2 linked regions of the Caenorhabditis elegans genome follow. The protein of the gene in region 2 purifies or fractionates together with the protein of the main gene of each other region. This does not show direct contact. Each region holds a gene or a part of one and is shown on either strand. Other genes may lie near its edges.

Region 1 (6,103 bases), on a different chromosome or scaffold from region 2:
TAATTGGTGAAGCCAGAGAGTAAAATAATTGGTGAAGCCAGAGAGTAAAATAATTGGTGAAGCCAGAGAGTAAAATAATTGGTGAAGCCAGAGAGTAAAATAATTGGTGAGGCCAGAGAGTAAAATAATTAGTGAAGCCAGAGAGTAAAATAATTAGTGAAGCCAGAGAGTAAAATAATTGGTGAAGCCAGAGAGTAAAATAATTAGTGAAGCCAGAGAGTAAAATAATTGGTGAAGCCAGAGAGTAAAATAATTGGTGAAGCCAGAGAGTAAAATAATTGGTGAAGCAGAGAGTAAAATAATTGGTGAGGCCAGAGAGTAAAATAATTAGTGAAGCCAGAGAGTAAAATAATTGGTGAAGCCAGAGAGTAAAATAATTAGTGAAGCCAGAGAGTAAAATAATTGGTGAAGCCAGAGAGTAAAATAATTAGTGAAGCCAGAGAGTAAAATAATTGGTGAAGCCAGAGAGTAAAATAATTGGTGAAGCCAGAGAGTAAAATAATTGAGTAATTTATTTGGTGAAGCCAGAGAGTAAAATAATTGGTGAAGCCAGAGAGTAATTTATTTGGTGAAGCCAGAGAGTAAAATAATTGGTGAAGCCAGAGAGTAAAATAATTGGTGAAGCCAGAGAGTAAAATAATTGGTGAAGCCAGAGAGTAAAATAATTGGTGAAGTCAGAGAGTAATTTATTTGGTGAAGCCAGAGAGTAAAATAATTGGTGAAGCCAGAGAGTAATTTATTTGGTGAAGCCAGAGAGTAATTTATTTGGTGAAGCCAGAGAGTAAAATAATTGGTGAAGCCAGAGAGTAAAATAATTGGTGAAGCCAGAGAGTAATTTATTTGGTGAAGCAAGAGAGTAATTTATTTGGTGAAGCCAGAGAGTAAAATAATTGGTGAAGCCAGAGAGTAAAATAATTGGTGAAGCCAGAGAGTAAAATAATTGGTGAAGCCAGAGAGTAATTTATTTGGTGAAGCCAGAGAGTAAAATAATTGGTGAAGCCAGAGAGTAAAATAATTGGTGAAGCCAGAGAGTAAAATAATTGGTGAAGCCAGAGAGTAAAATAATTGGTGAAGCCAGAGAGTAAAATAATTGGTGAAGCCAGAGAGTAATTTATTTGGTGAAGCCAGAGAGTAAAATAATTGGTGAAGCCAGAGAGTAAAATAATTGGTGAAGCCAGAGAGTAAAATAGTTGGTGAAGCAGAGAGTAAAATAATTGGTGAAGCCAGAGAGTAATTTATTTGGTGAAGCCAGAGAGTAAAATAATTGGTGAAGCCAGAGAGTAAAATAATTGGTGAAGCCAGAGAGTAATTTATTTGGTGAAGCCAGAGAGTAATTTATTTGGTGAAGCCAGAGAGTAATTTATTTGGTGAAGCCAGAGAGTAATTTATTTGGTGAAGCCAGAGAGTAATTTATTTGGTGAAGCCAGAGAGTAAAATAATTGGTGAAGCCAGAGAGTAATTTATTTGGTGAAGCCAGAGAGTAAAATAATTGGTGAAGCCAGAGAGTAAAATAATTGGTGAAGCCAGAGAGTAATTTATTTGGTGAAGCCAGAGAGTAAAATATTTGGTGAAGCCAGAGAGTAAAATAATTGGTGAAGCCAGAGAGTAATTTATTTGGTGAAGCCAGAGAGTAAAATAATTGGTGAAGCCAGAGAGTAAAATAATTGGTGAAGCCAGAGAGTAAAATAATTGGTGAAGCCAGAGAGTAAAATAATTGGTGAAGCCAGAGAGTAAAATAATTGGTGAAGTCAGAGAGTAATTTATTTGGTGAAGCCAGAGAGTAAAATAATTGGTGAAGCCAGAGAGTAAAATAATTGGTGAAGCCAGAGAGTAAAATAATTGGTGAAGCCAGAGAGTAATTTATTTGGTGAAGCCAGAGAGTAAAATAATTGGTGAAGCCAGAGAGTAAAATAATTGGTGAAGCCAGAGAGTAAAATAATTGGTGAAGCCAGAGAGTAAAATAATTGGTGAAGCCAGAGAGTAAAATAATTAGTGAAGCCAGAGAGTAAAATAATTGGTGAAGCCAGAGAGTAAAATAATTGGTGAAGCCAGAGAGTAAAATAATTGGTGAAGCCAGAGAGTAAAATAATTGGTGAGGCCAGAGAGTAAAATAATTAGTGAAGCCAGAGAGTAAAATAATTAGTGAAGCCAGAGAGTAAAATAATTAGTGAAGCCAGAGAGTAAAATAATTGGTGAAGCCAGAGAGTAAAATAATTAGTGAAGCCAGAGAGTAAAATAATTAGTGAAGCCAGAGAGTAAAATAATTGGTGAAGCCAGAGAGTCTGTGAAGTTGTGTCCGCCCTTTGAATACCTCTTTCACTTCACTGAGTTTCATGTTAACGCATTTTATTTTGCAATACATAATGCTATTCAATTCAGAGATTTAAGTGATATTTGGGATGTTTCCGATGAATTGTTCATAAGGAGATGTTGAGATGAATATGTTTATTATTCTTCAATAAATACATTTCTGATCAACCTCTTCAAGTGGAGTACATTTGCTTTTTCAATAGCCCAAAACTGCCGAATTTTGTAATGAGACGCTGTTTACCCTTATGTATTTCTTCACAGCCCATACGATGAGACAAATCCAATTTTCCTCCATTTTTGCCAAATATTTTCCTATTAAAATACAACATATTTTGAGGAGCTTAAGAATGAGCAATTGTACCATAAACGTCATATAAAATTAATACTTGTTTACATCGTTCAATTTTACTGTTTCTTATCACTTGTACAATTCCTCAGCTCTAAATTCAACCTATAAAAACTCTGTTGGGGTTTCATTCATTATTTTTTAAATTTTATTTTCCTCTTGCTGGTTGAAATGTATTTTTGCTGATAATGGAGCAAGAGTCTAAGATTGCCACATTTTACGATTTGCCTAAAAGCTTCATTAGCGACGCTGTAAGCAGAATTGATATTGTTGATAGGTATTTAAACTAATTAACAACTAATTGTAATGAGAATATTTCAGATTGGTGGTTCAAAAGTTGTCCAAATATTTGAGAGCTATCGTTTTTGGCCTTCCACCGTTGAAGTTAAAACTTAATCTGGAAATAGATGCTCGTCTAATAAAGACAATGTTCAACAATTGTGAAGCGGAGTACGTCAACATCTACGATGAATACACAGGTGTTTGTAGAGTGCGGTCAACCAAAACATTCGAGGGAAACTACTTACAAACAGCTCTCAATGATATAAAAATGATAGCCAAAAATAATGCGACAGAATTGTATTTTTCCTCACTTGAAAAATCGAACAAATTGGGCGCAAGCCTGTACGAAGACTCGGAAAATGCCGGAGCAGAAGAGATGAATATTAGTTCGGGGACAATCGAGTTTAAGGACTTTTACCACAAGGAGATTGCCACAATTCTATCCTATTTCAAAAAAGGAGTGTTTGAACAAATCATCTTTCGCGGTTGCAAGTCCGATGGAGGCATGGAGCAAATTTACAAACTCGAGCCGTGGAGAATGGCAAAAAACTTTTTCTCAGAATGGGACGTCGAATTGAATGGTAGTCTTTTGCATTTTTTTCATTTTACCGGGTTTATAATTCACATTAACACCATCACAGACGAAATGGCAATGGAAATTAGAGATGTGAGCGTGTTTTTTTAAAGGTGGAGTAGCGCCAGTAGGGAAATTGCTTTAAAACACGCTTACCACAATGACCAAATATTATAGTTAAAAATTTTTTTAAAAATTTCTCAATTTTATATGATTTTTTGAAAATTGTAAAAATCTCGAATTGCATCAAATTCCTATTTTTTACCGCCACGCTTGCATTATTTTAACTTTTATTTATTAATTTTTCTTATTTTGATTGATTTTTCATGTTTTTTGAGTAATTTTACTGGAAATTTAATGAAAAATTCAAGATAAATGTAATTTTTTTATTAAAAAGCGGGCGCTAAAGCCTAAATCTTTGAAATAGATTATTTCAGGCTCAACGTCGTTGAGAAACGTACTATCTCTGTTTTCAATTATTTTTAGTAAAAAATGTACATTTATCTTGAATTTTTCATTAAATTTTCAGTAAAATTACTCAAAATAAACATGAAAAATCAATCAAAAATAAGAAAAATTGATAAATAAAAGTATATGCAAGCGCGCTCCATCGAACATCGAACTATTGGCGGTAATTCAAATAGGAATTTGATGCAATTCGATATTTTTTCAATTTTCAAAAATCATATAAAATTTAGAAAATTTTTTTAAATTTTTTTACTATGATATTTGGTCATTGTGGTATTATAGGCATGTTTTAAAGCAATTTCCCCACTGGCGCTACTCCACCTTTACTCTTTTGTTCTAGTTGAACAATTCAATTTTTCTCAGATTCTGTTCAAACGCGAGATTTTCGAATGGTGTGACATTCATTGCAATTCATCCGACTTTTCTCCACGTAAACTTGCTAAAGTGTTTCAAGCAGACTATATTGGTGGCGACAGTTTTCAAGTTAACTACTCCAACGACATCTCCAATTTTAGAATTATTTCGGAACTTTATGTCATTCGACCTACAAGCGACAAACCACAAACTAAAGACTGGTGGAGAGTTGTAATCAGAAAAGAAGGAATACCATGATCAATTTTTTTGCATTTTCACTTCGTAAAATGTTTTTAAATATCAATGTATACTGTTACATTATATATAAAAAAGGATTCTTCACATATTATGATTTATTGAAAACCGTTTTTTTTTAATTTCAAACTTCCATTTTTCGACCATATCCAAATAGTTTTTACAATGCATTCCAAATTTTGATTTCCCATTTGAATAATAAAGTTCAAAATCATCGCCACCAATCCGATTAAAATGCTCTTGCAACTTCAACAGGCTTGAAATTAGAGTTCATAATGAAAATAGAGCACAAATAAAGTTGGTTCAAACGGAGAAAATGTTTTTATTGAATTGAATTCAACTAGACTAAACTCTGGATATGTTTATATAACCATACTGTACTTCAAACGAGAATTTAGAATTTCCACTAGAATATTCGAATTTAGACTTGATGGTGTCATCGGATGGAAGTTCAGTTATAGTCTGAAATATTTCCGTCATCACAGGTAGTGTCCAACATTTTATATCGCAGCCGGTAAAATGTTCGTTTTTTAGAAGGATCTGCAAGAATTTTTTTTCAGTTGAACATTGTACAGTGCGCGTCAATGCTATAGGACCCCCCTCATTTTTCCGATATTGGGAAACTGAAAAATTTCCATGAAAAATTTTTGTGATATCCGGATTCAGCATGCCAAAAAACCTGTGTTCCTGTATTTTCACGAGTTTATCATTAAAACTGTAGACACACGGCAAATATTTCAAAAATTCAGTGCAAAAAATCTTGGAAATGCACTGTGAATTGAGAATATGAATTCCGTCAACTGTAGGTTTTTCCGCAAAGTTTTGGAGCAAGCAACGTTTATGGTACCTGTAGTGTAAAATGTGGGCTTCATTTTTTGAGTACTTTCTAAAAGATGTATCAAGCAGGAATATGCTTGAATATGTGCTTCATGAAATAATATAAGCTCAAGCTCATAAGTTACTTGTGAGCTTCTCGTTGAGCTTCAACGTCTAAAAATGTGAGAAAATAGTTAAAATGAAGATTCCGATCGTTACAAAAGTGGAAAACAGAACAAAATTGAGCTAATAACCAGATTTAAAACAGTTCTCAATCTTATTTTTTTGAAAATGGTCAAAAAGTCCGAGATTTTCAGTGAAAATTTTCGAAAATCTCAGGAGGTCCTATAGCAGTGACGCGGCCTAATTTTTGAAATATTACCCGTGTGTCTACAGTTTTAATGATAAACTCGTGAAAATACAGAAACACAGGTTTTTTGACATGCTGAATCCGGATATCACAAAAGTTTTTCATGAAAAATTGTCAGTTTCTCACTATTGAAGAAAATACGGGGGGTCCTATAGCCTTGACGCGCACTGTATAAAGCCTACTTCTCACCTCTTCAATCTTCCTAGCATCTTGAGCTGAAATCGTGAGCACTGTAATTGAAAACCACTTGCAATGAAAAAAAGATTCAATTGACACCGAGCTTGTGTCAAATCCCTTATATGGATTCAAGTGTAGACGTTTCGCCTTC
Region 2 (7,382 bases):
TCTCTCAGTGTACGGATCACCCTACTCGGCAACACGTCACTATTTCATAGCATACTCTTAACTTAGTTTGATTTTTCGCTAAGAAATTGCAAATGCTGTCTTGAAAGATGCCGGAGTTTGTTAAAAAGCTGTAATCTTTAACGACTGGTTGGAAGCTCTAAGAATATGCCGTTGGACCGTTTTGCCGTCTAGTGCGGACCTCTCGCCACCCCTAGTCCACATTCACCACATTTTGTTGCAGGTGTTCTTTCAAAACATCATACGGTTGTGGAAATAACAAAACGGTTCTCAAGGTTGAAGAGAAATCTCTCACAATTCTCATATTCCCAATCTATGTGTTGTGCACAATAAAAAAAGTGTGAAGCTCGCCATTTGCAATTTCCACGCCCGCTGTTGAAATACTGTACAGGACTCAGATTATATAGTTTCAACACAACACTATAGGTACTTTCCTTTGTTTGGAGGGTTGTGAAAAATTTATTCTCTTCAAATCTTTGTAATAATTCTTCATATTTAGAATACCCAAGTTTCTTATTTTTCGAACCCATATTCCGGAATCTAAAGCTAAAATTATTCGGCGTAGTCTACTTCTAAAAGTAATTCTTTATTTGGAAAACATCCATCCAATTAATTTATATATTCAAGTATCCGAAAATAGGAATTCGACACGTATTTTAACACATCCCTATTTCTTTTGTCGGCAACGGCGATAGTGTTTGCTCACCGTTGACGATGTCACTACCAAAGATAAAATGATATCATTGGGGAATGATGGGAGCAGATAAAGGGCCGCCGATATTTGATGGCGCGACAAAGAAAAGAGAGGTGGTCGTCGTCATCACTTTTCAAATTTTCTTCGCACTTTTGGGCGCAATCCAGTAGGTTCTTATTTTTTTTCTATTTCATGAACTCAATGCTTTCATGAAACTATTGATGTTAATAACGGTAAAGTAGAGAATCGTGGCTTCGATTTTTTCCCCGAGTTTTCAAAACAATTTTCAATAAACATGATGTGTTTTTTTTTCGAAACTACTTTTAAACATACATTTTTTCTATCCTTTAACTAGTCAGTTTTCAGAATGATTTCGCTTTCCGATCCTTCAAGAATTGATCCACACATCTTGAAGGTTATCAAAGAACAGCTGATTTTGTTGCTTCATGCAAATGTGTGCACCAAAAGAGACAGGGTAATGTTTTGAATCTGTTTATATCATAATTAAATGGTTGTCTATCATTTCTGGAAATATGCCAAAGTTAGAAGATAGCTAGATTGAAACGCGAAACAAAAAATTGCAACAGTGGCGGACCCTATTATGAATTTTCTATGCATACTATTAGTGACGGTTCACAAAAAAATCAAGTATAGGCTCCATCTCCATCTGAACGTTTTTCGTTTTCTAATAACATTTCATAACTTCGGAAAGCAATGTTCATACCCAGTCAGATATTTCATTGAGTGACCGTAGCAACGGAAGGTCTGGAAATTAATCTTGGCTCACACGTGAAGTGAAAAAAATATAAAAACTGTAAGGTTATGTTTTAAGAGTAGTCAATTTTTGTGGTGAATTTTCATCAACAATGGTTAATATTTTGCGTCGACTGACTAATAAGATTTTCAGGAGAATTACCAAGCCGCGATCAATGGTCAACCTGCTCGTCATCCACGCTGCGATCTTCCCAGTTGCGGACTCTTCAAATACACGCTTTCTCATTTGAACATGTGCACGAACGGATCGCATTGTCTCAGTATGTTCATTTATTTAATTTTCAAAAGGGACAACTTTTTTTCAATGAAGCATCATTAGACACTAAAGCGACCCCAAAACAGAGGAGGTTCAGTTTCCAGTTCGATTAAAAAACTCCAACAAAATGTAAAAACATACATTGTTTCCCACATACGACACGTCGTGAATGACAAAAAAACCACAAAAGCTATTAAGATTCTATTACCTATTTTTATAAGATTTCAATAATATACCCTACCCTTTTAACCTTACTTAAATTTCAGTTGATTACTGTAACACCTCGAAGCAACTCATCAAACACTGGCGTGAGTGCCAAAATCGTGCTTGTGCAATTTGTGCTCCACTAAGAAGACTTCAAACATTTGGTGGTAGCTAAAGGTAAAAGTAATGACATATGCCAAACTTCAATTTTGATTTGTCTCCCACCATGATCTTCTAATTGTTACTTATTGTTCTGTTTTGTTTTTTATGCATTTAGCGATTGATAAAATGTTCACAGATACTGCTGTTTCGTTTACCGGTCGATTTTGATGGATTTCTTGTTTATTATTTTCAGATTCAGAAAACCAGACGGTCAACTCTAATAGTTTCCTTTTCAAGCGTACAGGAGTTTGTAAACAACATGGCAAACAGAGATGTGCGACTGGCTGATTTTGTCGGCTGTCGGCTGTCGCCAACAGCCGACACCTAGCAATGTTTCGGCTGTCGACTGGCGCTGCCAGCCGACTGAGCTTTATGGTTAAGTTTTGTCGCTAAACTGTATTTTTGCACGTTGCTTTCTTGAAGTGTTTCGGAGCAATTAAGCATACTTTTAGTACAAAAACAAGGTATAGCAAACTTTTTAATCACTTTATCCAACAAAAATAACCACATCGGCTTACTTTTTTCATATATAAAACTTGCAACTAGTGTTCAAATATATCAAAAATCAGTTAATTTTTTTTTAAACCGCCAGCCGAAAACTCTAACTCAAAGGTCGGCTGGCTGCGCCAGCCAACATTAGATTATCAGTCGGCTGTCGGCTGGCGCTACCAGCCGAAAAATCCAATTTTTCGGCTGTCGGCTGGCTGCGCCAGCCGACAGCCGTACATCCCTGATGGCAAACAAACAAACAAACTCACCAACGGGACCTCCCTCCTTTTCTCCCTCCATCTTTACACCATCCGCCGAGAGAGCATGTGAATTTGGGAGGGCGGAAAAGAAAGCGGGGAGGAATAACAAGGTCCGCATGTTTACGTCAATTGTGTTGCACTGTATTGCATGGCGGGAAGAAAAAGGCGCGGTCTTTTTGCTAAACACTACATTAGCATAGACATTTTGTTTTCTTGTGTTTGAGTTGGCATTTTAGTTTCGCTTTCCAATTCAATTTCAATACTTTGATTTATTTAACCTTGATTAACCCTACGATTTCTTGTGAATTTTATGTATATGAAACGTTTCAAAATTAACTATTTTTGAAGGGTAAATTATTGCAACCACGTCTTTATCGGATCACAAGATTTGTATCAATATCTATGCTGTGATGACTACTGTTTCTAAGCCTGATGAGTCGTCTTTTGATGTTCGAACCTTGTCGATGAAAACCTGCGGCTCCCGTCTTTGTGTGGGATTTTGCTATTGCTCGGGAGTGGTGAAGTTCCGCAAGTCAGAGTCGGTGGGAACTGTGGACATTCCTTTCCCAAGTCTTGGAGCTTGTCCATCTTTAACTTTGTCAATGTCCCCAAACATGAACTTTTCTTCAAGAATGGCTTTGGCTCCCACATCGCCAATGAAGCGTTCAAAATCGGTAAGTTCAAGCACAATATTTGTAGTGCACGACTCTTGCAGTCTGTTTTTAGTCTAGTGTTATTTTTAATTCGTTTTTCAGGTACCGAATATTCTTTCTGGTGAATATCCGAATTCCGTTTGTGTCGTTGCCAATTCAATCGATGAAAACGGAGATGCAGGTGTAGACGTTACGGATTGTGCTTCTACAAAGCCACTGGTTCTTGGAAAAGACAATTATCAAGACAACTACTGGGATTCTCAAGAGACGAATCATCGTAATGCCGATATGAAGACTCCAAAGAAAAAAGTTGGAAAAATTTCGGTTCGCATTTAACTTTAACTATTTATAGCATTTATACTGTACTTTTTGCAGAAATTTGTCAACATCTGCGTTTCTGAATTGAAGAAATTCAAGAATCCGAACTCTGGTGTCACATCGATTGATGGTGTTGAAAGGTTGAAGAAGGAGGTTGGTTCCACAGCTATAACGTTTTACTTTGGTATATAAAATACATATTTTCAGATTGCTCCTCTTCCCTCTAGCCCACTCAAGCTCACATCTACATCTACAATCGAGTTTCAGTCAACTGTCACTTCTAGTTCACCAATAATGAGATCTCGTGAAACTACGTCAACTATTCAAAGATCGAAAATAATTTCTTCTACTACAAAGGTCATGTCAGACATGTTGATGGATAAAGAAGGAAAGGATTCAGAAATCTCTGAAAACAGTATCAACTGCTCTACAAACTTGGCTGTCAATAAGATGGGCGATGTGCCATCTCTTTCACAATTTGAGGATGCAGATGGACTCCAGAAGAAGTTGACTGAGCCAGTGGAACTGCCAGCCAAGAGCCAAGAGGTGTACCAATATGATGTTTCTGCCAGCCCAGCCAAAGAGGATCTGAAGTGGAGTACTCTGAAGAAAATTGATCTGATTGTCCCTTCGTTCAGATCAAAGAAACGAGGACTTGTCGCACATTTGAAGAGTTCCCCAATAAGTAAGATCAGTTATGATGGTTCGCCAAGCAAACAAGTTGGTGTGTTGGATGGTGAGATTACTGACGATGGGAGAATTGATTCTGGCCCGGCTAAAGCCATTATTCCAACATCGACTGAAAATATCATTATGCCAAAGGAATTGAATATTTCTGATATTGGAGAAAAAGCAGAAGTATCTCGTGGTTTGCGAAAGCGTCATTTGGAAGATAGTTCTACTCCTTCATCTCGAGGACCGTCTACTCCTGCAAAACTCATCACTGATGAAGATGCGACCAACAAAAAGAAGCGCGTTCTCGGTAAAAACATGGTGGATAACAAAGCCTCTTCTCCCAACAAAGAACACATCTTACCAATTGACCAGCTCAATAACAGTTCTGCGATGGGAATCAGCAGTGAGAACACTGCACCAATGGAGTTGAAAGCTACTGGAAATGACCCGGTCTCGGATGGAGGTGGATACAAGTTTCTTGTAACTGCCGAAACTGGACGGAAGTTCGATGAGTTCAGAGCTAAGCGACAAAGACTTCGTGAATCGTGGATGGAGAATAAATCTCCAACTTCGAACAAAAATGTTCAAACTACTGCTGTTACTAGTGGTTTCCAATCAAATGAGCAAGCTCCGGAAAACCTTCCTGCCACAATGGAATGTTTGAATAAGGAAGCTGCAACTACTCCAATGAATGACAATCGTGCTTTGTTGACAGAAGTTGGGCCAGAAGCTGCACTTGCTGAACCAAAACTGGGCAAGCCACTGTTGCCAGTTGAGAATGTGTTGCAGTATTCAAAGTCTCCATCAAAGACAGCTGTCACTAACAAGCCGACAAAAACCGTTCTCAAAGCAAATTTCAATGCTCCAATTGGAAAGATCAACTCGGACATCAGCTTTTTCACTCCAAAGGTGAGTAGTATTTTGATATGTTGTTTAATTGACAATTGTGATTTTTTCAGAAGGTGTTTGGGAAGAGCGAGTATCAATACGGACCATCAATGGGCAAACTGATTCAAATGATGGGTACTGGAACTCCAAAGAAGGTGTTGCCAGAGTTTGGATCGTCTTCAAAGACTGCATTATTCTCGCCACGAAAAGAAGAACATTGTGCTGGTGCTCCACGTGGTTCATGGAAGATTGCAAAAATGCGTGTACGCACCAAACTGTCCAACTTCTATCCATCAAGCCGCTCTAAAAATTCGCAGCAAATTCGCGGGAAATGGTTGGGACAGAATATTGTTCAGTTCTCGGGTCATCATTCCATGATTGCTCAGTCTGCAAACGACAAGCACGGAGCCAATTTGATGGAGGTTAATGTACACTGAACACATTTCAATTTACAACAAATCATTTCAGATTTCTGCTCAACCATCTACATCTACCACTGCCCAAAACATCTAGAACAAACAAACAAGAATCGATACAGTTTGAAAATGTTTTGAATCTGACTATTTATTTCGCTTTTTGACCCATATTCCCTTTCTATTAAAGTTTTTTTCCATAGTTGTAATCAAATACATTTGCTTTGGCATTAGTCAAAGTTTTTGTTTATTGTCTCCTAATATTCCCAATAAGTATTATCGTAATTACTTTTAATTCTAATTGGTTATAAGATTGTTTTATCATATCCGTTTTGTATAATTTGAATTCTATGCGAAGAATAAATTGAGTGCAGGTTTCGATTAAAAGTTCTCTAGACGTATCCCATGGTTGGTGATCTATATGGAGCTGCCGAAATCCTTGTAACAGGCCGTTCAATACCATCGGCAAGTAACAGGCATGATCTTGCCGAAAGGAACCCAATTTTGATGCCATAGTCGAAACGCATAATCGAGGAAATTTAATACATATTTTAAAAACAAATTCAACCATCCAAATAATTATTTACTGATTTAGTCAATACAATAGTTCCGTCAACAAGTTAAAACCTATTTAAAAACAATTTTATTAATAAAAAAAATTTAGTCCGACATTACTATGACATGAAGTAATGTACGCAGTTTCCGATTGTCAATCTTTCAATCTTACTTGTGAGTGTTCGTATTTCTTTACAAATTCCGTCATTCCATATTATAAACGGTTTAGATCCTGAAAATGTATATATTGGTATATTGACATATTGGCATGTTGTTAATTCAATTATCAGACATAATAAAGTTTGTTAATCTATCAAGTTTGATTTCGTCTACAGAAAACTTACTTGCAAATAAAACTCTTTACTCTTCACAAATATGCTGTTCAAAGCAGTTGTTGTTACAAACAGTGTGATCCTGTACAGAATCGACTTTGGTATTTGACATATTATTTGAAAGCGCGGTTCCTGTTATGATTCGTTGACTGCATTTGCCGAAAAGTTTCAAAAAGAGGCTTCTCCGTGATTTATTTTTTGCAATTCTTCTGAAAATGCAATTTAATTTGATCTGAACTTAGCCAGTTGCTCACTTGAAAGATTATTGGAATACGAAGTGCCAAATGAATTTATTTTTCGATTGGAAAATCCATTGTGCAAATCAAATCAAGCTTGACATTTTGAAAAAAATCAAGTTTAATTGAACTCGGCGACCCTAGCCATAGAGTCCTGCCGAGCGGAACCCAAGTTTTCTGTAAAATAAATTTAATTGTAAAAGAGTATTGGAAAAAAATAAAATAAAAAACAACGGAAGACTGTTCTCTAGTAGATGCAAAACGTGGATGCCAAAAAGAATATTCTCGAGAAAACAGGAAAGGTCAGAAAGTATATTGTTGGCGCAGAAAACGAGAAAACGATGAAGCTATTTTGAAGACATATAAACCCCCATCGAAGGGCAACGAGAGACATAGAGAAAAAAAGCAAATTTATATTTCAGTTTTTTGAGCTGCTGTCAACAAACGCATAATAT

Evidence for each region. Proteins that work in one complex are often made in the same cells at the same time.
Region 1: the proteins of C49F5.6 (region 2) and fbxa-75 fractionate together in Caenorhabditis elegans (co-fractionation; one large-scale study listed by BioGRID). This does not show direct contact.

Annotation. Positions count from the first base shown.
Region 1 is NC_003281.10:1,300,870-1,306,972, forward strand, and holds fbxa-75 (DUF38 domain-containing protein), read left to right. Parts: upstream 1-2,844; coding exon 2,845-2,933; intron 2,934-2,977; coding exon 2,978-3,605; intron 3,606-4,343; coding exon 4,344-4,592; downstream 4,593-6,103. Other genes in the region: fbxa-79 (F-box domain-containing protein), read right to left, coding at 4,935-5,129, 5,965-6,103.
Region 2 is NC_003284.9:11,985,109-11,992,490, forward strand, and holds C49F5.6 (Dentin sialophosphoprotein-like), read left to right. Parts: upstream 1-3,205; 5' UTR 3,206-3,267; coding exon 3,268-3,531; intron 3,532-3,612; coding exon 3,613-3,834; intron 3,835-3,885; coding exon 3,886-3,981; intron 3,982-4,035; coding exon 4,036-5,412; intron 5,413-5,462; coding exon 5,463-5,813; intron 5,814-5,859; coding exon 5,860-5,904; 3' UTR 5,905-6,184; downstream 6,185-7,382. Other genes in the region: C49F5.5 (histone acetyltransferase), read left to right, coding at 1,080-1,187, 1,620-1,746, 2,009-2,121.